2 linked regions of the Arabidopsis thaliana genome follow. The protein of the gene in region 1 interacts with the protein of each later gene in a pairwise test. Each region holds a gene or a part of one and is shown on either strand. Other genes may lie near its edges. The genes, in order: IAA12 and SRO5.

Region 1 (8,062 bases):
AACGTATATCAACATTTCAATTTCGGTTTAAGTATTTGTGTACTTACATATTCAAAAAATTAGTTTGGGTTCGATTTGGAAGGAACAAAAAGTTTTGTGACTCGTGATTAAATAAAGAAAGAAGGGATATCCACATGAGTTTTGACCTTTCTTTTGGGCGGACAATAAGGTCCACATGAACTGAGGTTTTTTGAGTCTAGACCGGGGCAAGTCAATAATACAAAAAGAGGACAACTTGTCAAATCATTGGTCCATTCAAATGAAAAGAAGCCCATAATAAATGTGACAAGGATGTGTAACATGGCCACAAAATAATCAGTTTGGTTTCGTTCATTTTGGACTATGGGGTTGGTTTTGAAATTCCATTCCAGCACATAGAATTTCAGAACACCAATTACGAAAGGCTTTATCGTGTTAGAAGTTATATATTTTGAGAAGAAAAATAAAAGATATTGTTATTATGAAGGATCATGAACTATTCTAAGACTGAGCTAACACGTGTTACTTGCTTAATCCTTACACTCAAAAAGTCTAAATGTTAATGGTATTAAAAATTATTCACCTTGTTTGTTATTCTTATTTCTGCAAAACCAGACAACAATTCAGTAATCAAAAGGACACATACGTAAGTTGAAATTGGAAAGAGTTCTTCACCAAAGCTAACTTGATCCTCACGAACGTCTCCTAAAATAGCAATCTTCAGCTGAAGAACAACACACGCCTCCTAATAAACTCGTTGTCTTTCTCACATACACAAAACCAAATTTAGCAAAATGGTTATTATTACCTTTCTCCCTCCTTTCGGAAATTGCCACCACCAATCAAACAATCTACCTTCTTCTTCATTCATCATTCACTTCTCAGAATTTTGAGAATTTTGAATTGAGAATTGCGAGAGAGATCTCATTCTCCCTCTCGCAATTCTCCGTCCCCTCGAATCCAACAAAAAGATTTTAATGTAAAATCACTCTATTGATCCACAATGTCGATGATGTTCCCATCGTTTCAGTTGCTAGAACTTAACATAATATCAGCTCAGGACTTGGCTCCCGTCGCACGCAAGACAAAGACTTATGCGGTTGCTTGGGTTCATTCCGAACGTAAACTTACCACCCGTGTCGACTATAATGGCGGAACAAACCCAACTTGGAACGACAAATTCGTATTCAGAGTCAACGAAGAATTTCTCTACGCTGATACTTCAGCAGTGGTTATCGAAATATACGCCTTGCATTGGTTCAGAGATGTTCATGTAGGAACAGTTCGTGTCCTCATTAGCAACCTCATTCCTCCTAATCGCCGTCCAGGATACAGAACCAGCAACAATGAATATCGTCGTACCCCACCTCCAGGAATGAGATTTGTTGCGCTTCAAGTTCGTCGTACTTCAGGTCGACCTCAGGGGATTTTGAACATTGGTGTTGGATTAATTGATGGTTCTATGCGGAGTATGCCGCTTTATACGCATATGGATTCATCTGCTGTGGGATATAGAGATTTGCTCGGAGAAGAAGATCATCATCTACAACATTTGCATTTAAATAGCAACAAAGGGAGCTCAAAGAATCCACAATCTCCATCTTCTCGACAGTACCAATCCGTAATCTCAAGGCCTGAGCTCCGTCGTACGAAGAGCGATACAAGTTCTATGGTTGTTTCGGATCTTCTTAGCAGGGCTGAACGGAGTCGTTTAGCTAATAGACAACCAGCGAGTGCAATAGTGAGCAGTGAATCTGAAACTCTTCCCACCACGACAGATTCTGATGAGAAAAAATCGAGTGAGTATACACCTCCTAGTAAAAACCTTAGAGTTCCAAGGCAACGATACAATTCGATTGAATCAGATCTCATAAATCCGTCGCCAATGGAGAACCACCATGTGGTAGTGTCGAGAAGGGAGAGACATGATGTTATGCCGTATAGTTCGTATCAACAAACAGGTAAGACACCGAGGAAGAAGACAAGGATCGAGAAACAAAGATCAGTGAAAGATTACGATCGTGGCCGAGCTTCCCCGTACTTATCGAAGCACGGAACACCATTGAGATCAAACATTATCGCATCTACTCCGATGAGATCTAACGGAGTTGGATCAACTCCTATGAGATCCAACATCATCGCAATGTCACCGATGCATCCCAACATGGTTGGATCGACTCCAATGCGAACTCCTATGCGGTCTAACATGGTTGGTTCGACTCCAATGAGATCAAACATCGTCGGATCAACCCCGATCCGATCAAACTACATGGCTACACCGATGAGAACTCATCACGATTTTGGTACACCAGTGAGGAATTTAGCTGGAAGACGAATCTTAACTGAATCGGAGTTAGGACCATCGCCATCTGAAGTGGCTGACAAATTGGCGAAAGATAGATCGCACGAAACGGAAAGTTCAATACTCAGCGAATGGAGCATCGATGAATCTAGCATCGAAGGATTGCGATCAAAACTCGAGAGATGGCGAACAGAGCTTCCACCGTTGTACGACATAGGATCAAGCCATATAAGTAGCACTGATTACGATGGCGCGAGCGTTCCAGCTGCAACTGCCGGGGGAGGAATGAGTTCAAGACGGAAAACTCCGACGACGAAAAAGCATAACCGCCGTCACACAGATGGAGGTAATGGACTTTTCTCGTGTTTTAGTAAGATTTGTGGTGTGGAATGCAGTTTCGTATGCGGTGGTGGTGGTGGGCCGATGGTCTCAGAAGGATCTACTAAGAAAGGTGGAGCCGGACGTGTGCAACGCACATATTCCGCTGACGATCTGAGCTTTGTGTGATCTTTATTTTATTGGTCTTATATTAACTTTTATTTTTTTTGGAAAACTATATTTTTTAAGGATCTGAGCTGATGAATTAATCAAATAGTAAACAAAAATTAATTTATTAATGTTGTGTTAATAAATCATTTATTTTTGTGTATTCCTCTTCTTCTTCCTTATTTTTAAAAAATTAAAAAATGTTCTTCTTATAATATAGTGTTTAATAGAAAGTGAGCTCACACAACAAAATTAGAAAACTGTGAATGAATGTAAGAGAGTGAGTGGAATAAAAAAAATATAAAAATGAAATCTAAGAGTGAGTGAACAAATGTTGGTATTGTAGACAATGGTGACTAAAATTAAAAAGAAACAAAATGATATAAACATTAATCTAAAAAAAACTAAAATAAATATACAAATTCTGCATTTCTAACTATACTTTCATGTATTATGTATACTTATTTGATTCATACATGATATAACCGGTTATTTAGTTTATTTTCTATCAAATCCATCAATTAGAGCATGAAATCTATGTACTCCTTGATAATGATTTTGATCAAAAGTGTAATTTCCACAAACCAATTGCGCCTGCAAAAGTTTTCAAAGGATCATCAAACATAATGATGAATATCTCATCACCACGATTTTATAATAATGCATCTTTTCCCACCATTTTTTTTCCCTCACTTTCTTTTATAATCTTGTTCGACAACAATCATGGTCTAAGGAAAAAGTTGAAAATATATATTATCTTAGTTATTAGAAAAGAAAGATAATCAAATGGTCAATATGCAAATGGCATATGACCATAAACGAGTTTGCTAGTATAAAGAATGATGGCCAACCTGTTAAAGAGAGACTAAAATTAGGTCTAAAATCTAGGAGCAATGTAACCAATACATAGTATATGAAATATAAAAGTTAATTTAGATTTTTTGATTAGCCCAAATTAAAGAAAAATGGTATTTAAAACAGAGACTCTTCATCCTAAAGGCTAAAGCAATACAATTTTTGGTTAAGAAAAGAAAAAAACCACAAGCGGAAAAGAAAACAAAAAAGAACTATATTATGATGCAACAGCAACACAAAGCAAAACCTTGCACACACACATACAACTGTAAACAAGTTTCTTGGGACTCTCTATTTTCTCTTGCTGCTTGAACCAAACACAACAACGATATCCCAACGAGAGCACAACAGGTTTGATTATGTCGGAAGACAAGTTTTGAGAGAAAACAAACAATATTTTATAACAAAGGAGAAGACTTTTGGTTAGAAAAAATTGGTATGGCCATTACAAGACATATGGGTCCCAATTCTCATCACTCTCTCCACCACCAAAATCCTCCTCTCTCTCTCTCTCTTTTACTCTGTTTTCATCATCTCTTTCTCTCGTCTCTCTCAAACCCTAAATACACTCTTTCTCTTCTTGTTGTCTCCATTCTCTCTGTGTCATCAAGCTTCTTTTTTGTGTGGGTTATTTGAAAGACACTTTCTCTGCTGGTATCATTGGAGTCTAGGGTTTTGTTATTGACATGCGTGGTGTGTCAGAATTGGAGGTGGGGAAGAGTAATCTTCCGGCGGAGAGTGAGCTGGAATTGGGATTAGGGCTCAGCCTCGGTGGTGGCGCGTGGAAAGAGCGTGGGAGGATTCTTACTGCTAAGGATTTTCCTTCCGTTGGGTCTAAACGCTCTGCTGAATCTTCCTCTCACCAAGGAGCTTCTCCTCCTCGTTCAAGGTTCGTCCTTTTTCTTATTAAGAAAGCTCAAATCTTGTGATGTGAGTGTTATGCCATCTCAGGACAGAATTGTGTAGGTGCTTTTGTTTTAGTTTACCCTGAATAAGAGTTAGGTATCTATCTCCATTGATGAGCTTGTGCTTGTCCTGTGCTATAGATTTCTCTATGGAGTCATGCAAATGCTAAGATTTGTTCATTTTAATGTCTGTTTAGATGATTACATCTGAATTTCGAGAGCCATTGAGTGGAAATTTCTTGGTTTGTTGTGGCAGTCAAGTGGTAGGATGGCCACCAATTGGGTTACACAGGATGAACAGTTTGGTTAATAACCAAGCTATGAAGGCAGCAAGAGCGGAAGAAGGAGACGGGGAGAAGAAAGTTGTGAAGAATGATGAGCTCAAAGATGTGTCAATGAAGGTGAATCCGAAAGTTCAGGGCTTAGGGTTTGTTAAGGTGAATATGGATGGAGTTGGTATAGGCAGAAAAGTGGATATGAGAGCTCATTCGTCTTACGAAAACTTGGCTCAGACGCTTGAGGAAATGTTCTTTGGAATGACAGGTCTGTACTGTTTTCAAATGCGTACACTATAAACCCGATGTTTTCTATGAATCTACTGATAGTTTCTGTTTTATCTATCAGGTACTACTTGTCGAGAAAAGGTTAAACCTTTAAGGCTTTTAGATGGATCATCAGACTTTGTACTCACTTATGAAGATAAGGAAGGGGATTGGATGCTTGTTGGAGATGTTCCATGGAGGTAAGATTCGGATATTAAGCAGTATTGCAGTAGTTCAAAACCTGATTAGTCTCTTTTCTCTCTTTTTGTTTAGAATGTTTATCAACTCGGTGAAAAGGCTTCGGATCATGGGAACCTCAGAAGCTAGTGGACTAGGTAAGTTTTAAAGATCATCTTCTGGTTTCTTGATTTCTCGTCTTGACTAATGAAAAAGACTGATTGAATCATTTTTAATGCAGCTCCAAGACGTCAAGAGCAGAAGGATAGACAAAGAAACAACCCTGTTTAGCTTCCCTTCCAAAGCTGGCATTGTTTATGTATTGTTTGAGGTTTGCAATTTACTCGATACTTTTTGAAGAAAGTATTTTGGAGAATATGGATAAAAGCATGCAGAAGCTTAGATATGATTTGAATCCGGTTTTCGGATATGGTTTTGCTTAGGTCATTCAATTCGTAGTTTTCCAGTTTGTTTCTTCTTTGGCTGTGTACCAATTATCTATGTTCTGTGAGAGAAAGCTCTTGTTTATTTGTTCTCTCAGATTGTAAATAGTTGAAGTTATCTAATTAATGTGATAAGAGTTATGTTTATGATTCCAAAGAATGAATATTTGTTCCTTAATATGGTTTGTTGTTTTCTGTCTTTTTGAAGTTTCCATTGACTCGAGTCAAAACGTTTTGCAGAAACAGAGAAGAGTGTGTCATTAAAAAAAACAGAGAAGATGTTTATTTTTTTTGGTCGAAGAGAAGATGTTTCTAAGACCATCAAAATCATATATTGATGATTGATGACAAGAAAAGTTTTGACCATCAAAAGTTTTGTCCTTAATTGTTCTTAAATTCACACAAAATACGTTAAGAGTTATCTTTTAAAACTGCAAACTACTTTAAATTGATAAACTTTGAAAAGTAAAGATTTTATTCTTAATCTGATAGTTGAAGACAAAGAAAATAACAAATGTTTGGATTCACGTCACCAAATCAAAATATAATAAGGTTATGGATTGTTTAGGTAATATTTAACTTGTTACCTAGAAAAGGAGATACAGTGCTTAGCAAGTCCAACCAAAGATTAAAGGATAAGTAGTAAAGTCAAAAGACCAGTAAATTAAAGTCTTGTAGAGAAAGGAAGAAGGAAGATTCATGATCCTTGATAAAATTCAAGTTTGGTGAAATTCTAAAGACCACGGTTTAGATTTTTGGGGTTTGCTTTGGAATAAGATAATGGATCATCAATGGCGCATGAGGTTTTCGTTCAAGAACGCAACAATTGCTCTCACTGTCATCAACGTTCTCATCTTCCTCTTCCTCCTTCAGGGCTTTTTCACTTCCTCCTCTTCTCCATCTTCTTCTTCTTCTTCTCGCCGACTCATTTCAGGTCTGTAACTTTTCTGAATTCCTTGTGGGTATATCCTGATTTTGCGTAATTTCTCTGGATTTCATCGGAATTTGAGCAAAGTTTGGTGCTTTAGGGATCATCTTCTGATGGGTCTTTCTCGGATCTGCTCATAACAAAAAGCTTGTTGACTCGTTTTTAGATTTCTGGATCCTGTGGTCACTTCAATTCGATCTTTGTAGATTTAGGGCTTCTACACTGATATGATTCGATTTCGAAAAAGTTTAGATTTTTGCGTATTGAACAGATAATTCAATTGCATAAGGCACTTGAAAGTTAAGCTCTTTCCATGGAACTGTTGATATCAAAGTTGTTACATATTCACATTCTAAGCCTTGTAGAGATGAAGAACTTTTTTTTTTTTTTTTTTTTTTTTTTTTTTTTTTTTTTGGTTTAATGAGATGAAGAACTTTGAGAGATTGTTGATGTTTTTTTCTACATTACTGCAGAGCTTTGTCTTCTTTTTGGGTACTTGAAAAAGTTTCTTCTTTCATCATACATAACCATTACCTCTTTGATAAATGCAGCTCAGCTTCGGTATATCAAGGAAGCCGAAGAACTTAGGCTCAAGATGCAACCTTTAGAGCTCATCAGAAGAGTAAGCACATTATGCTTTTTGTAGCATTAGATATTTACAAGTATCTATGCTTTCGAGAGAGTGATTTGGCCTTATGTTCTTGAAATGAATGATAGGTCCGAGAAATCGAACAAGAGGCATCTGCGGGACAAGAAACCGAGCAGCAGAAAGATGTGAAGCAGACTACAGCCGTTGATCTCTCTAAACGACTGAAGGATTTCCGTGCGCTAAACGATGCATCGAGCTTGAAAGGTACACATAATAGCGAAATCGTCTTGTTTATGCTATGGAATTCAGATCAGAAACAAAACTATACATGAAGGTTTAGGTATGTAACAAATGTTTTTGTTATCCGCTCAGCATTGGAAGAATGGCGAAAGCGGAAAATGGAACGAGCAAGACAACGGGATCTTGAGAAAACCGGAGGAGTTTCTTCGTCCACCAAAACATCATCATAAACGTCACTAATTCTCTAAATATCATAAAATTATTGAACATTATAAGTCTCATAGAAAAAATTATACTTACTAGTGTAAAGACAGACAGAGATGCTGGAAACCTGTCAAAACACAGGAAAAGAAAAGAAAGGATATGTATGTTACTCAGTAAGATTTTTAAACACACTTGTGTTTTGGTCAATTCATCAAATATACCTTAATCATATAGTCTGGTGCCCAGTGCAGCTCAAGTTTATGGTCATCACCATTGTGGCCTGTATCAGTCATCTTTATTACATAAATTTGATTCATATTTTACAAAACAAAAAAACATGTAAATTATCGGTTTGTTCTTACTTCTTAGAAACATATGTGAAAACAGCCATGCGGTTACGACCGACATGTTT
Region 2 (16,308 bases), on another chromosome or scaffold:
TACAAACAAATGGACAATTCACTTTTGTCATTTGATTGGAAAAAAAAACCATAATCACATATTATAATTCACACAAAATTAGTAATTTACACCCATTTATATCAAACCAAAACAAAAAAAAAGGAAAAATAAGATAACATTTTACCAAAAAAAGGTAAACAACAAAGAGATGCCCAAAAAAACAATTTTTTAAAAAAAGCTAGAACTGGGAGGAATAAGCAAAACCCCCATTTTGCCCTCCTTGAAACTGAGTCCGACTTAGCCCAGTCGCTTCAAGCATACGGTTCCACTCACGCGCCTCCGCATTTTCCCCAAACTCACTCTCTCCTCCGCCTCCTCCTCTCATCGCCAGCAGAATCTTCGACGCCTTCTCCTTCACCCGTTCATTCCCATTCTCTTCCACTTCCATCAACACTTCCTCCGCTCCCGCCTCACTCGCCAACCCCCTAAACCTCAAATTCCCTTGACACAACGTCAACAGAACCGCCACACAATTCTCACGCGCCGCCTCTGAATCACCACCTCCGACTTCTCTAAGCTTCCCTACCAAAATCGCCACCGCGTTTCCATCTAACATCGCACCTTTTCCGTCTGGACAAGCGGCCAGGTTACATAGTACCAGCAAAATCCGGCTAGTCGAATCACCCGATCTTACCATCGAAAGCAGAGTCGGCACCGCACCAGCTCTAACCAGCCTAGTTCTATTGCTCGGAATCAGGGACAAATGGTAAAGCGCAAGAGCTGCATCTTGCCGCGCTCTTTCACTCTCCGACGACCGAAGCGCGTGAAGAAGCGGCTCCACCGCACCAAGAACTCCGATCACCATTTTGTTCTCATCTTCCAACGCCAAACTAAACAAAGCTCCGGCAACATGTTCCTGCGCCTCCGTCGTTCCCGATTTCAAAACATCGATCAACAGAGGAACAAATCCTGACCGTACGATCTTAACTTTGTTCTGTTTTTCCAACGAGAGATTAACCACCGAAGCAGCGGCGTTAGTCTGAACAAGATTGTACCGTGAAACAAGCAGCGATCGGAGAAAAGAGAGAATCCGATCTGTACAAAGCGAAACCCGAAGATCTTCACTAGATCTCGTCATCTTCCTAAGAAGAATCAAACCTTGCTCGTGGTCGAAAATGTCGGTACCTCTCAATTTATTGAAGATCTCTTCTTCTTCCGGTGACATCGGAGAAGAAGAGTGATCAGTGGAAGAGAAAGACATAGCGTTTCGAAATGGACTATCAGCACCAGCGAAAACTCCAGAGGAAGAAGAAGTAGTTGAAGAAGAGAACATACTAACGGCTCGAACCGGGTGATATGAACTCTGACCAATCGTCACCGATTCAAGAGACGTCGTCGGCGACATTGAATTCTTTGATCGAGCTCGAATCGCTTCCATCACAGCATCGTAATCCGAAGGTGAATTCTCTTCTACAGGAGGGAGAATCTCAGGCTCCGGATCCTTATCACCCGGACCCGGACTTTGACCCGGACTTGGATTAGGATCTTTATCCATTCGGGCACGAACCACGCCTTCGACGTAAGCGGCATCAGGAGGACGAGGATGGTCAACTTTTTGCCGATCACACCAACTGAAAATGGTGGATTTCATTGCGAGATTGGGGATGACGGTGGAAAGATCGGGTCGGGTACCGTCTAGGAGATCCGGTATATACCCTAAGTTACGACAGACTTGAACAGAGAGACGCTCGAAGGTTTGACCGGAAGAGACGACGACGGGATCCGACATGAGGAATCCGGTGATGGGACAAAGAAACTCCGGTGGAGTCTCGTCGTGTTTGTGTTGTGGTAAAGTAGTAGTGGTGGCGGATGAGGATCGTTGGTGGAAAGAGAACCATCTCTGCTTGTTTCCACCCATCGGCGAAAAAACTTGGGTTATTGAGAGGAGGAAGAAGATGAAGAAAGAAGAAGCGGCTCCGAGCTAAAAAAATCAAAGCTCGTAATATTCAGTCTTTGATACAGTCCAAAAGGTTTTGGATGATTAAACCGAACCAATAGATTAACCGGAAAAATCAACCGAACCAAGTTAGATTAAACCGGAAAACTATCTATTTGATTTTTGTTTATTAGCTAAATCAAGGGACAACAAAACGGAATTGGTAACGCTGATAGTAACGACTCTGACATTCTTGACTTTTTCATGGTTTACTTTTTTGAGAAGAATTAATATTGTAAAGGTGATGAATTGATGATCATCATTAATGGACACCTAATAATAATCACCATGAGCCATAAATAGTTTCTCATTTAACACAGTATCAAATCAAGAACTTACAAATAGGGAATAAATACTCCAAAAAGGTATCTTTGACATTTAATTTTACCAACCTAGGATATACTATTTTGCAAGGAATTTATTACGCAAAAATTATGAGCTATAGTTCAAGCTTTGTTAAGTTAATCGTAATTAGAAATTTGACAAAAGAAAAGTAGACTGAGTAATGCACACACCATATGATAATTAATTACCGGCGACATACTCAGAAAACGAGAATATATTTAAATATACATTCTTAATAATATTGTTCTTTATAATGTGAAACAAATAATTATATTGTTTCTAGTGAGATAAAGTCGGAATAGAGCGACACTATCGATTAGATAAAAAAAAAAAAAAGAACAAGAACATGACATCCACTCAGATGTGTTTTTTTTTTCCTTTCAAATGCACTAAGAGGAGTATGTTTTTATTTTACCAACGCTTTGTATTTGGTTACATGTGAACAAAGACAATGAGAATAGGTAGGATAGTTTCTTATATTATTTTGAAATTTCTTTTACCATTCATGTAAGCTTAAAATCTTTAATATTTATGAAAGTTATTTTAAGGAAGCATTATGTGGATAGCTTGTTGAAAACTTATTTAGGTATATGATTTGGCAGCAATAATCGTAAATAAAGAAGAACATATTTTGAGCAGCTTGACCAAAATTCCATTGACTATAACATAGGCTTATGGTTTATATTAGTATTGTCATTGTGTTACCATCTTATTCAAATTCAAATATTGCATGTTGTCGATAGAATATTATTTTTTTTAAAAATCTCACTTTTGATTTACTATATACACTAATACACTAAACAATACAAACAAGATTAGAAATGTTTAATTTATTAAAATTCTTATTTGTTTGTTATGGTCAAAAATAGATAGACAGAGGATAAACTTGTAAACTGGCAAAACCTAGCTTAAGCGTTGTGACTCATATCCCTCTGTTTTTTTAGATGATCGAGTGTTTAGACTTTAGAGATCCATTTTCTTCTAATTAAAAAAGCACAGTACTAAAAGTATTGGACCGAACCCAAATGAAGCCCAGTATCGAGAAAACATTAATGGGTCGTCAGATATTAAAGAAGCCCCTCAATCTTAACAGTTATATAACAAACGGTTAATCAATCAGTCAACGGCGTTATTTGAATTTGAAATTTCGAAAAATAAACAAAACAAAAAGAAGACCCCACAGACAACGGAGCGTTTGGAAAAATGAGGTCCCTCAGATTCCTAAATCAATCGAATCGGACGGCTCAGAGTAACTCTCTCTCTCTCTATCTTCTCCCAAAGAGACTTTCAACCAATTTCCCGCTCTCAAGGCAAACTGCAACAGAAATTTAGGTTTTACGGATTATTCAAAAAGTAGACCCTTTAACTTTAGAAATCTTCATTTTTAATCCCAAGCTAATGTTTTTACATACTAAAACCTTTATCTCTGTTCCCAAACTAATATATATGAATATTTTCAAATATATATAAACTCAAATAAATTTGTTTAAACTTTTAATCAATTCAATTTCAAATGAAGCATCAAATTTACCCTTATTGGGTAGAGTAAAAAATGGGTCAGAATTGGTTTAATAGAAAATAATGAGGCTATAAGAGAAATATCAAATAATGTAGGGGTCATCCACGAGTTCTTAGAAACAAATCAGATTGTTTTGTTATTATTATAAGTCAGAGATTTCTCCGCTCTCACAGTTTTTCAAATTGAGATCTTCAGTTTTTTTTCTCTCTCAGTCTAAACAAAACAAAAAAGCGTTAAAAGTTTCTAAGTTCATCAATGGAGAAATCAATGGAGAAAAGCGTGAGCTCTGCTGCTTCTGGTAAATCTTCTTCAATTCCTTCTATCTGATTATCACTTCCCATTTCAGTTTTCGTAATGTTTTTCTGATTCGAAAATTTCTGAACAGGTAATTCAATAAACTCGAAGCTGAGGTATCCTCTCAGATCGGCTCTTAGATCCAAGGAAGGGAAGCCTCCTGTTCCTGATTTCTCTGCTTCTTCTATGCCCAGAAGGTACTATTGATTCAATAATGATCCTAGATCCGGATTCAACGAGACATTGATGATGCTAGAATTTGTTCATTTTCTGAATTCTAGAGAAGATGAAAATTTTCCCAGAATTTTGGTCATTTTCTCCTGATTCATATCTTGAATTGCTAGTTTAAGATGATCAGTTATGGTTTATATAAACGTTGCAATGTAATTTGTCTTATGGATTATATTTATGTGTGTGAATTTGAATCTCAGGGCACGAGTTGTATCTGCTGTTAGTCAGAGTACAACAGTTCTTGATTTGTCTGGGAAGAAGAGTGTTGATCGAACCAAGCTACCACCAAGAAGACTTTCGATTCCAAACAAGCCCACAAGCAATTCTTCTGTTAAATCAGTGAGCAGCAGCGTCACTTCTCTTTCTGAAGTCAAGCCAAAGAGATCACGCATTGTTCCTAGAAGCTTCAATGAAACAACAACACCTGTCTCTAGTAATCTCAGATCATCAGTGACTCGAAAGAAAGTTGAAGACTTGTCTTCCTCTACTTATTGGCTGACTCATATCAAGCTAGCTGAATCCGTGGCGAAACATTCGATCTCTCTCGGTTTCTTTAAACTTGCTCTTCATGCAGGGTGTGAGGTGAAAATGCTCATTTACAATGAAAGCTTTAATTTGGAATAAGTCTTGATTCGTTTGTTTTATTATCTCACTGGCTTTGTTTGTTTTGGAATCTAGCCACTTGACAAGATGAAAGAAGAGTTGAAATTGTATGCTCGTCGCAATAACATGGATGGGCTTGCTGATGCTATGAAGGAACTTTCGGAACTGTACAATATCTCTGAAGAATCCAATCAGGTGCAGGTCTCGGAGACTAGTTCTGTTGTAGCTGAAGAAACAGCTATGTCTCTGAACAACGATAATGATGTCCAGAGTTCATTCTCCACTCCTGGAAATTCGAACATCACATCAGAGATCACGAAAGACGATGCTTTGCAAGATTCAACCGTCACAAAAACAACTAAGGAAAAAGATGCTTTGCAAGATTCATCTGTCACAGAAACAACTAAGGAAAAAGATGCTTTGCAAGATTCATCTGTCACAGAAACATCTAAGGAAGAAGGTGCTTTGCAAGATTCATCTGTCACAGAAACAACTAAGGAAGAAGATGCTTTGCAAGATTCATCTGTCACAGAAACAACTAAGGAAGAGCAGGCGTTGGAAACTGTAACACAAGGAAGAACTAGAAAGTCTCTGGAGGTAATCAATGTGAACCAAGAGAATGATTCAGAGGTTGTTCAGGAATCCGAAGAAGGGCTCCGTCCATCAGCAGATGGTGTTCAGATCGTGACTGTTGTTAAACCTTCAGACAAGAAACGTGCCAGAAAGGAGACTGTTCCTAAGAACAACCTGCCGGTGAGGACAAAGAAATCACTAGCAACCAACTCTGCTAATTCAAAAACAGTTCAAGTAAACAAGGATGATAAGTCTCAGAAGAAGTCTGAGAGGATCACTAAACCCAGGACTAAGAGAGTTCAAGAAGAGTCAAAGAAGTCAATTAAGAAATCTACTGCTAAAGAAGGTAAAAGGAAAATCATATAAATGTCTTTGAATAGCTTGTGTAGCATTTGTGGCTGATCGTTTTTAATGTTCATATGTGTAGGTGAAGTTAAATCTCTGAAGCAAACAGAGAAAATGGAGAACAAAGAAAACACGGTGAGTGAAAAACTTCTTTAAGTTCACAGGATCGAAATTGTTCTTGTAGCTAACACAAGCTTTTTCTCGTCGCAGGTTGTTGTTGGTGCAGGAGAAGACATCCAGGTTTAAATGAAGAACAGAGAAGCGTTTCTTCAACATATCTCAAACAATCTTTTTCTTTTGGTTTGAATGATTTGTTCAAGTACATAGTTGAAAAACCTTTGCAAGTTTGTTTCCAAAGTGTGGTTTGAAAGACAACAAATGTTTTATTTGCTTGCTCTGTAATTGTTTTAAGTTTTACTTTCATGTCTTCATTTGAAGTCTTTCTTCTACTGTTGTCTCTTCAAATTTGGTTATTCACTATTATCAAAATATATATATATTTATAGCAGAAATCTCATTTCCGAAATTTAAACATCCATGTAAAATAAACTCAAGGCAGATAATAAATACTATTCAACATCCAATTACTCATTAGTCAATACAACAAAATGAATCATATTTATACATAGCTCTGCTCCACGATCTCGATTACTTTCCTGTTATATTCTCTTTTATTCTCACTGAACAACCTTGCAGCCTCTGCGTTCGCTGGTGAGTCAGGGTTTGGGTCACAGAGCAAAGACTGTAAAACAAAAGGTCTTGGTTTAGTTCATGCATAACCTCCACAATGCAAAAGATACAAATGAAGAATTCAGAAGTCAAAACCTGAATTGATGTGAGAACTGCAGCAACGTCGTAGATGGGGCTCCACTGGTTTTGCAAGATATCCAAGCAAATGCTTCCATCAGCATAAACTGCACCAAAGTTCAATTATCAAAGTCGAATTTCCTAATTGGTCTATTACTATGTTGTTCACTGAATGCTTGGGCTTACTGTTTGGATGAAACATCCGTGAAACAAACCGAACAATCGGGGGTTTGTTCGGATAATCCTCGGTGAAGTGAAGAGTCAACTTGAAAGTACCTGATGAACACAACAGACTGATTATTTTAGCTATAAGTTTAACTCATGACAATATCTCGGTCTGCAGCAATAGCCAATAAGTACTGAAAGATAATTACCTCCATCCCATGGAGTGTCCTCAGGTCTGCAAACAAAGACAATGAAGAAATAAGTTTACAAAGCCATGCTTTGAAGAGAAAACAAAACAAAAAGTTATACCCAAAGATGAGAGCATTCCAATGCATGATATTGTTATCTTGTGGAGCTCCACTTATTCCCACAGGAGGATCTTTCTGCAGTCTCTTGAAATCCCACATCAGTCTCTTTTTTGCTGGAGTTGTCATTGCTGTTGGAAATTCACAGACTGCATCCAAATATGAAAGATTTCAACTTTACTCTTACAAACTCATTTCATAAGTCACAAAGTAAGAGCAATTGCATGAACTAGGCTTTAAATTTCTGATTAAAGTTTCAATTTTTTTTCAGACCCAAAAAAAGTAGAAGCAGAGACCAAGATCTACATTTCTATAACCTATCATCATAGTTTAACAAAGACTTAAGCTTCAACAACCATATAGCCCAAAAGGTCAGAGAACAAGAATCACCAAACTTCTAGACAAGAAAGCTTGAAGCTTGGATTATTTCAACTAGCAAATTAAGTTCGACTCAACGATAGTAGCTGTGTATAAATTCTGAATTTAAATTCTGAATTTAAGTAGATCAAGAGTACAATTATCGATTTCAACGAGCCTTAGGATTAGATTATACAATCACCTATGAAAGATTTGATCTTCCGATGTCATGCATCAAATGAAAAAGCTCGATTAACCTAAAATTACCTGAAGTTCAAAGCTGCAATGAAAAGTGATTCGCAACACTAGGAATTAGGGTTTTTCCAATGTTTTTCATAGACCGAAAGAGATGATGAAACTATTATGAGTGGAGAATAAATAAAGTATATATAGAGGGAGAGAGAATCAAAGTTGAGATTTTTCTTTCCTTTTTCTTCACCAAATAAAGGAAGAGAAGAAGAAAACACAAAGAAAGTTTAAAATGAAAAAATCATATACTATTTTAAGAAAATAAAATACAAAACTTGCCAGAAGAAAAAAACATATATATATTTTCTTCCAAAGACGAAAAAAGACTTTTATAATTTTAATACAATTTTAATATTATTATTTTTTATTTGTCGGTTCGTGTAAAAGACAAACGTATACGTCTATTACTCAATGGGCCAATGGCCCAAGCGGACGTGACTCAGCAAGCTATCACCATTTTAATACTTATTTATCTATCAAGATTTATTTATCTATTTTGTAATTGACATCTGTGTTCATCTTACAAAATTCCTTGGTTGATCCCTGGATTTGATGTCAAATATCACTAATACTATTGATTTTCCAATTTAAATTTCAAAAGAGTAAAACAGTAGATAATAATCATAAATCTCTTTTTTTTTTTGTACCAATTTTCATTATTAGTTTCCCTTGATATTTAACTAATTACTATTCCATTAGTCGAATTGATTAGAGGAGGTCTTTAAAAGAGATTTACTATTATTTTTATTTTTTGCTCAACTTCTTCTTCCTCATGAGTCATGACTCATCACATCAGGGTTTATAAGAAGCCATTAGAAACTATGGGGTAAAAAAGATAATAACCTAGAAATAAGAAATTATCTGTAAATATCTTTAAATCATTAATGTATTTCTCGTCAATCAGGGGAAAAACATTTAATTCTTTAATAAGCTGCTAAACACAAATCACTCGAGAATTCGCTATTTTATCACCAATCTTCTTGAATCCTCTCATCCAATCGTCTGATTCTCATCTTTCTCCGTTACTTGTGGATCTTACGCAATGTATAGAGTTTTTGCGAGCCGAGCACTGAGAGCTAAGTCTCTCTGTGACAAATCATCCACCTCGCTTGCTTCTTTGACTCTCTCCAGGTTTTTCAAACGTCCTGATCTCACCAAATTATTTCTTGTTTTGTGTTAAACATTGCTCTTCGTCTTTTGGGGTTGCATGTTTTTGCCTAAAGTAATAGACTTTCCATTTGTATATATATATAAATAAATAAAAGAGAAAACTTTAGCAAGTTGGTGTATTAAAAATTTGAGATTTAGATCATCGAGTAGCCGCATCTGCTCAGTCTCTATGTAATGAAGAGAGTGTTAGCTGATTAGAGTTTGAAATGGTACTTTATGTATTTGTGTTCTGATTACTCTTTGATGTCTGAGAATGTGATCCATTTAAAAGAGTGTTCCTTTGCCTTAATTTTTGTGTTTATGGATCTTGCAGATTGAATCATTCCATACCTTTTGCTACCGTAGATGCCGAGGAGCTCTCTGGTGCTCATCCTGCTGAAGTACAGAGCTTTGGTATGTCTTTACTTCTCACTGATTGTGCGTTGACGCTATGGAAATGAGTAATAGCTTGTTGGTTAAATGCTGTTGTGAAGTCTCTGAGTTCTACTTTCATTGTTATGTCTATAGTGCAGGGAAAGTGGATAGGATCGTCAAATCATAACACGCTTCTAGATCCTCTAAATGGAGAACCGTTTATCAAAGTTGCGGAAGTGGATGAATCAGGAACTCAGGTACGAGCCTATCAAAAACCGTTGATCGTATCACAATGTTGTTTATCCGTGTCAATTCTAACTTTCAGTTTTCCTCTGTTCTATGTTGTAGCCATTTGTGGACAGCTTATCCCAGTGCCCGAAACATGGTCTCCATAACCCTTTCAAATCTCCAGAGAGGTATGATTTGGTTGAGGTTTGGTGCTATTTCTTCTTGTTTTGTCATTTCCCATTTTGTTTCATATATGAAGGATAGTAATGGTCTTGTTTTCTACAGATACCTTTTATATGGAGATATCTCGACAAAGGCAGCTCATATGCTCGCCTTACCTAAGGTAACACATACTTTTTTTGTTGAATCTCGAGTCTTGAATTCAAAAGGTTTTGTTTTCTGAATAACATGCATACTGAGCTACTGTTGTATGCGTGTATACACTATTAGGTTGCTGATTTCTTCGCGAGGTTAATTCAAAGGGTTGCTCCAAAGAGTTACCAGCAAGCTGCTGGAGAAGTCTTTGTCACACGGAAGTTTTTAGAAAACTTTTGTGGTGATCAGGTACATTACTCTCTTCACCATTTTTTATTTTGGTTCCTGGCTATTAGTTTCAACAACTTAGTAATTCTTGAAGGCATGTTCTCAAAAATGCCTATATAGACATTTCATGTTTGTGGCTGAATTTCCGAAATTACATCTTTAAATGTATGTTTATGATTTCGCTTCACTTTCTTTTATCAGGTGCGGTTCCTGGCACGGTCTTTTGCAATCCCTGGGAATCATCTTGGGCAGCAAAGTCATGGTTACCGTTGGCCTTATGGTCCTGTAAGGCATTCTTCCTAGATGGTTGTAATTGGTGAGAACTCTGTCTGTGCTTTGTTTTGAAATCATAGATTTGTAATGCAGGTAACGATTGTTACACCATTTAATTTTCCACTTGAGATTCCACTACTTCAGTTGATGGGGGCATTATACATGGGTAACAAACCTCTTCTTAAAGTGGACAGCAAGGTATAAATTACTCTTCACATTACTATAGTTCTCGTAATTGTATTGGTTCCATCTGTTTGATAATATAATGTTATTTGATTAGGTAAGCATTGTTATGGAGCAAATGATGCGATTGCTCCACTATTGTGGTTTACCCGCTGAAGATGTGGACTTTATAAATTCTGATGGGAAGACAATGAACAAGATATTGTTAGAGGTATTTGGTCAGGAATTCACAAGTCTATTGTCTCCACAGGGTTTTTAGTTGAGCTAATTCAGTGTCTTGTCGATTTGTAACTTCTTTCAGGCGAACCCACGGATGACCCTCTTCACGGGTAGTTCTAGAGTAGCTGAAAAGTTGGCACTTGACCTTAAGGGTCGAATCAGATTGGAAGATGCTGGATTTGATTGGAAAGTCTTAGGACCAGATGTTCAGGAGGTTTCTTATTATACCCTTCCGTATTTGTATTTCCACAAGTCTCCTTAAATGTGATTGTAACCCTTGTTTCGGTCTCTAATGTCAGGTTGATTATGTTGCATGGCAATGTGATCAAGATGCATACGCGTGCAGTGGACAGAAGTGTTCTGCACAGTCTATGCTTTTTGTTCATGAGGTTGGTTTGATCCTAATTGTTATGGTGAAACTACCTTTGAATCTTTTGTTTACTTCCATTTTCTTCTGTCTTTGTTGTTTTCAATGTATTTTCTCTCTGAGCAGAACTGGTCAAAAACCCCTCTTGTTTCCAAATTAAAAGAACTAGCGGAAAGACGCAAACTGGAAGACTTAACCATTGGTCCTGTCCTTACAGTGAGTTTCATTGTTTCTCCATCTGTTGTTAATCATCTGATGAGATTGTATCATTAAAACTTATTTTTTCATTATTGTTTCAAGTTTACAACTGAGGCAATGTTGGAGCACATGGAGAATCTGCTTCAGATTCCTGGCTCAAAGCTACTCTTTGGTGGCAAGGAATTGAAGAATCATTCGATTCCTTCAATCTACGGAGCTTTGGAGCCAACTGCAGTTTATGTTCCCATTGAAGAAATCTTGAAGGATAATAAAACCTACGAACTCGTCACCAAAGAAATCTTTGGACCATTTCAGGTTACCTTGATATCGACTTTATTAGCTTTGTCTAAATGATCTTGTGTGTTTCTTTTACTGAAACGTATAGTGTTGTTTCTGTATATGATATCCAGATTGTAACGGAATACAAAAAGGATCAACTTCCTCTAGTGTTGGAAGCATTGGAGAGGATGCACGCTCATCTAACTGCAGCTGTTGTTTCAAACGATCCCATCTTTCTTCAGGCAAATCTTTTCACAATTATCATCAATCAATCTCTTATTCTCTATCCCTTCGATATTGATGTAACAAATCTGTGCAGGAAGTAATAGGGAACTCAGTGAATGGGACTACATATGCTGGACTAAGAGGAAGAACAACTGGAGCTCCTCAGAATCACTGGTGAGAGGAAAAATCACACTCCCAAATTAAAGTATCTATTTCTATTTCTTTGAGGAAAAGTTAAACTATCATATAAACACAGGTTTGGACCTGCGGGGGACCCGAGAGGGGCCGGGATAGGGACACCAGAGGCTATAAAGCTGGTTTGGTCATGCCACAGAGAAGTCATCTACGATTATGGTCCGGTTCCACAAGGTTGGGAACTTCCTCCATCTACTTAGAAGTGGTGTGTCCACTAATAATTAATAAACTAAGATCTTAGTGTGCTGTTGCATCAAATAAATATGAGTTTTGTAGTTTTATCTCTACGAGTAGTTTCCGTGTGAGGGAATAAGAGCTTGAAACATGAAGTTTTCAACGACGTTGACTTAGTCAAGGGGTAGAGGGATTAAGACAGAGAGAGAACTATTGTAAAACTCAGTCCACCAGAAATTTTCTTCAGCTCAAAGCCAGACAATAATACAAATGTTTTTGAAAGAAGAAGAGTGAAAAGAAAAACAAGATGATAACTTGTTAATGTTCTCTTCATTAATAATGTTGCTAAGACCCTAATCTAATCGATCTTAAATAATCTAATGAACAGTTTTTTTTCATCACTATCATGGGAAAACAATAGAAAGGGACTCTACCAGTCCTGATCATTTTGGAGTTGGTAAACAGACAAATACAACCATGGTGATTGTGTCCTTGAAACAAAAACGCCAAAGTGATCTGCAATGGAGATTTAGTGTTGTACTTTATGTCCACAAGCTTTGATGATGTGAACTAGTAACTTGTCTCCGGTTATGCTTCTGACTCGTTGGATTAGTTCGCTCCGTGTAATTCTCCTATTCTGTTAAATCCAAAGGAAAGCAACAATTAGAATGTGAAATGAAATCACCTCAAAAGATAATTGAAGAGGAAACAAACAAAAAAAAACACTTACTTGTTGATCTTTGTAATGTTTCTGAATGACAAGTATTTGAGAAGGAGGTAGAAACTTGGACAATGCTTTGATCAATACAGGAAATGCCATCCATGGTGATCTCAATCTCTTTGGACTTCCTGCAAAAACAGTTATAACTATGTCAAAAAACCATAAACAAGAACAAGAAAAACTCAAGATTAGAGATTTTGATTTTGCTTACGAGTTAGGTTAAATGGAGCTTTGATGCAAACAAGAAACTCAGGCAAAACATGAGTGTTCATGTGTGTACTCCACACAATATACTTCTTCGTAGAAACTAAATCATCCACACCAGAATCAAACTCTGGTGAACTTGGACATGATCTAGTCGAGCCTTGAGGAACAATCTCTGATTTTCCAAGTAGAACTCTACAAAGCAACAAGAATCTCATCCCATCTTCTGATTCTGAAGCTGAATCCTTCAAACTAATCAAACAAACAAACACCAAAAATGAGATTTTGAGACCAATGAATTTCGAAAAATTGAAACTTTTAGAGATTTAGAGAAACTTACCAATCAAGAGGAGAATTATCCGGCGAGAGATACAATCCACGGCCAAAAGATCCATCATTCCTCAGCGGCTCGCTAAACCCATACTCAAAAATCGTTTTAAGCTCATGTTTCGAAACAGAGCACCAACCGTATTTCACCTTAGCTCCACCGTCTCCACCGTGTTTCATCTGCACCGCCTCTTGAAAAACCTGAAAAGTCTTGAGCTTTGCACGAGATCCAACGTTCCTAAATCCGTTTCTAAGAACAGAGAGAATCTGACATTGATCACCAAGACCAGATTTACAATTACGATAGATCAAATCATGAGCTTTATCTCCTTCAAGCAACTCCATAAGCCCAAGCTCGTCAGCAAAAGATCGATCAGAAGAAGAATCGCAGCTTCCAGATTCAGAGATGGTTGATCCATCTTGCTCAGAATCATCAAAAACAGCTTCGACTTGGGTTCTCACGTAATCCATTGAAAAATAGGAACTTTAGAACCGAATGAGAAAAGAAACTTTATAAAGCTTTTGAATTAGTATTTTGTTACTTGAGAGAGGAAAAGAACTTGAGGTCCAAGTTCATATTTATAGCTATGACTTAAGGAAATAATTACACATATGGAAAAAAGAACCGCCTTTTGTTTCTGTTACCGTCGGTTTTGCAATTTTTATAAATATCAAAAACTCAGAGTTTCTTGTCTTTTTCTCCGTGGAGAAGACGTAAACAAACATTTAACAGCTAAATATCTTTCTTATTTTATTACATAATAAATACTTTGGTTAAGTTTTTGTAAGTTGCGGCCGCTAGCTGTTTTTTTTTTCTTTGAGGGGTCTATTCCGTGTTGGAGTTCGTTAAGCGGGTTGGTTGGTGTGAAAAGACGAAAATATCCTTTGGATCAAGTGGGGCTTTTAGGTAGAAGCGGAAATGACGAAGTTACCCTTTGCTTGTGGACATCGAGAATGTGTTGTATCGCGTCTTTCTTAGTTGAGAGGACACGACCGACACACGTAACACGTTTTATACGTAACCAATTTCAATTTCTTAAATGAATTTTAAGGTCAATATTATTTTAGTTAGAATCACATAAGTGTATAACTAAATAAATTAATCGACAAACAATGTGAATGTGTGTGATTACAATGAATAGGTTAAATTAGATTAGTATAGTTAAACTCACCGAAATCGTGTTTGACTTGTATCATTGCAATCAAATGTCTTTATACAAACTTATTTACTAACAACATATCGTCTTCTAAGTATGAACTCTTAATTTTCAACAAATTGAGATTCGTATATGTTTCAAAGTCATATTATAAGCACAATTAAGTCTTGTTTAAGAAAACGCATAAGTAATCAAATTGATTAAAAAACATATTGTAAAAAAATCCTAAATTAATCGCAATGAAATGGTAAATAAATTGGGTTTTCAATAGGTAACTCTGTTTATTTTTGAATATTTAGAAATAATCCCGAAAGAAACTTGATTCAAATGAGCTTACCGCTAGCGATATCCAAATATTAGCTAGAAATGACTTTAATCAATTTTTTCTTTTTTTTTACCTTAATCATAAATCATAAGCATGCATGTTTTTTAGAATTATCTCATTCAGAAGCCCATACATGAATCAATGATAATTTGTTATTGAGCCATACTTCATTTTATGAACGATATAAGCCTAGTAAGAACATTGCGAGACAAATAAAAACCAATCCGGTAATCTTTCAAATTTAGGAACATACCGTATATATTGGGTTTCGGTTCATTTTTAAAACCGAAGAAAACCGGTTAGGGTAAACTTTCTTTTCCTAATCAACAAAAGGAAAACTGTTGATTAGAGACGATCATCGTCCTCTACTTTATAAAACTGTCACAACCCTAGAATTTGGATATACAAGTTTGTAGTAGTAGCCATGCGTTTGTCTGTAGCTCTGATTTCATCTTTTCAATGGAAGAAGAGGTCTTCAAAGGCGATTATGAGAAGAGGAAGAAAAAGAAGAAGAAGAAGACAAAGAGGAGAAGATTTTTTTGTGGCACCGGAGATTCCTTTGGATCTACTGATCGAGATTCTGACTAGATTGCCTCATAAATCGCTTATGAGGTTCAAGTGCGTTTCAAAGCAGTGGTCTTCTCTTATCCGTTCCCGATTTTTTAGCAACCGTTATCTTACGGTTGCATCTCCACTGCGACCACATCGTCTATACATTAGTTTGGTGGACCACAAGTGTGATTCAAGGGAGGTCTGCCACAGCCCCCGCGAGTCTGTACTGCTATCATTCTCATCGCCTTCTAGTTTCGACCAAGATTTGACGACCATGCAAGGGATGGGAGGACTACATATGGTGACTCTTCGTGGCTTGATTTTATACATTGTTTGCGGAAAAGCGTGTCTCTATAATCCCACCACCAGACAGAGCGTAACCTTACCCGCCATCAAATTCAACATTTTTGTCCAAGGAAACGAACATAGTCTCCTCTACTTCTTGGGGCACGATCCTGTTCTTGATCAATACAAAGTAGTTTGCACTTTTGTGTCATCATCCTCACAAGATTTGGAAACGATAATCTCGGAGCATTGGGTCTTCGTACTGGAAGTTGGAGGTTCTTGGAAAAGAATTGAGTTTGATCAACCTCATACTCCTACGAGATCTGGACTGTGCATCGGTGGAGTTATATATTATCTTGCTTTCACTAGTATGTTTCAGGATATCGTTGTCACCTTTGACGTTAGGTCTGAAGAATTTAACATTATCCAAGCGCCTCTTGTGTTGTCTGCATATGTTGACTCTCTGGATTTTATAGAGTACGGTGGGAAACCAGCTATTTTTTATCATACTAGTCTTAAAGAAAACGGTTTGGTAGACTTATGGGTCTTGGAAAATGCTGGAAACTGGTCGAGGACAGT

What was found.
Region 2: the proteins of IAA12 (region 1) and SRO5 interact in binary tests that used the Arabidopsis thaliana proteins (3 or more experiments, as listed by UniProt).

What each region holds. Positions count from the first base shown.
Region 1 is NC_003070.9:1,236,274-1,244,335, forward strand, and holds IAA12 (AUX/IAA transcriptional regulator family protein), read left to right. Parts: upstream 1-4,020; 5' UTR 4,021-4,308; coding exon 4,309-4,511; intron 4,512-4,783; coding exon 4,784-5,070; coding exon of another isoform or gene 5,071-5,102; exon of another isoform or gene 5,103-5,151; coding exon 5,152-5,269; exon of another isoform or gene 5,270-5,342; coding exon 5,343-5,404; intron 5,405-5,487; coding exon 5,488-5,537; 3' UTR 5,538-5,884; downstream 5,885-8,062. Other genes in the region: AT1G04540 (Calcium-dependent lipid-binding (CaLB domain) family protein), read left to right, coding at 983-2,788; AT1G04555 (uncharacterized protein), read left to right, coding at 6,470-6,623, 7,169-7,239, 7,335-7,470, 7,579-7,676.
Region 2 is NC_003076.8:25,095,644-25,111,951, reverse strand, and holds SRO5 (uncharacterized protein), read right to left. Parts: upstream 14,009-16,308; 5' UTR 13,882-14,008; coding exon 13,424-13,881; intron 13,336-13,423; coding exon 13,091-13,335; coding exon of another isoform or gene 13,068-13,090; exon of another isoform or gene 13,008-13,067; coding exon 12,889-13,007; exon of another isoform or gene 12,796-12,888; coding exon 12,688-12,795; 3' UTR 12,185-12,687; coding exon of another isoform or gene 12,046-12,184; 3' UTR 12,045-12,045; downstream 1-12,044. Other genes in the region: AT5G62560 (RING/U-box superfamily protein with ARM repeat domain-containing protein), read right to left, coding at 200-1,879; AT5G62550 (microtubule-associated futsch-like protein), read left to right, coding at 4,077-4,119, 4,207-4,312, 4,547-4,928, 5,025-5,868, 5,950-6,002, 6,078-6,113; UBC3 (ubiquitin-conjugating enzyme 3), read right to left, coding at 6,487-6,609, 6,693-6,781, 6,861-6,950, 7,049-7,074, 7,149-7,273; ALDH12A1 (aldehyde dehydrogenase 12A1), read left to right, coding at 8,793-8,881, 9,234-9,313, 9,428-9,531, 9,623-9,690, 9,788-9,845, 9,953-10,066, 10,247-10,330, 10,412-10,516 and 8 more; AT5G62510 (F-box family protein), read left to right, coding at 15,317-16,308. UniProt on the Arabidopsis thaliana protein: Probable inactive ADP-ribosyltransferase that may be involved in stress and developmental responses.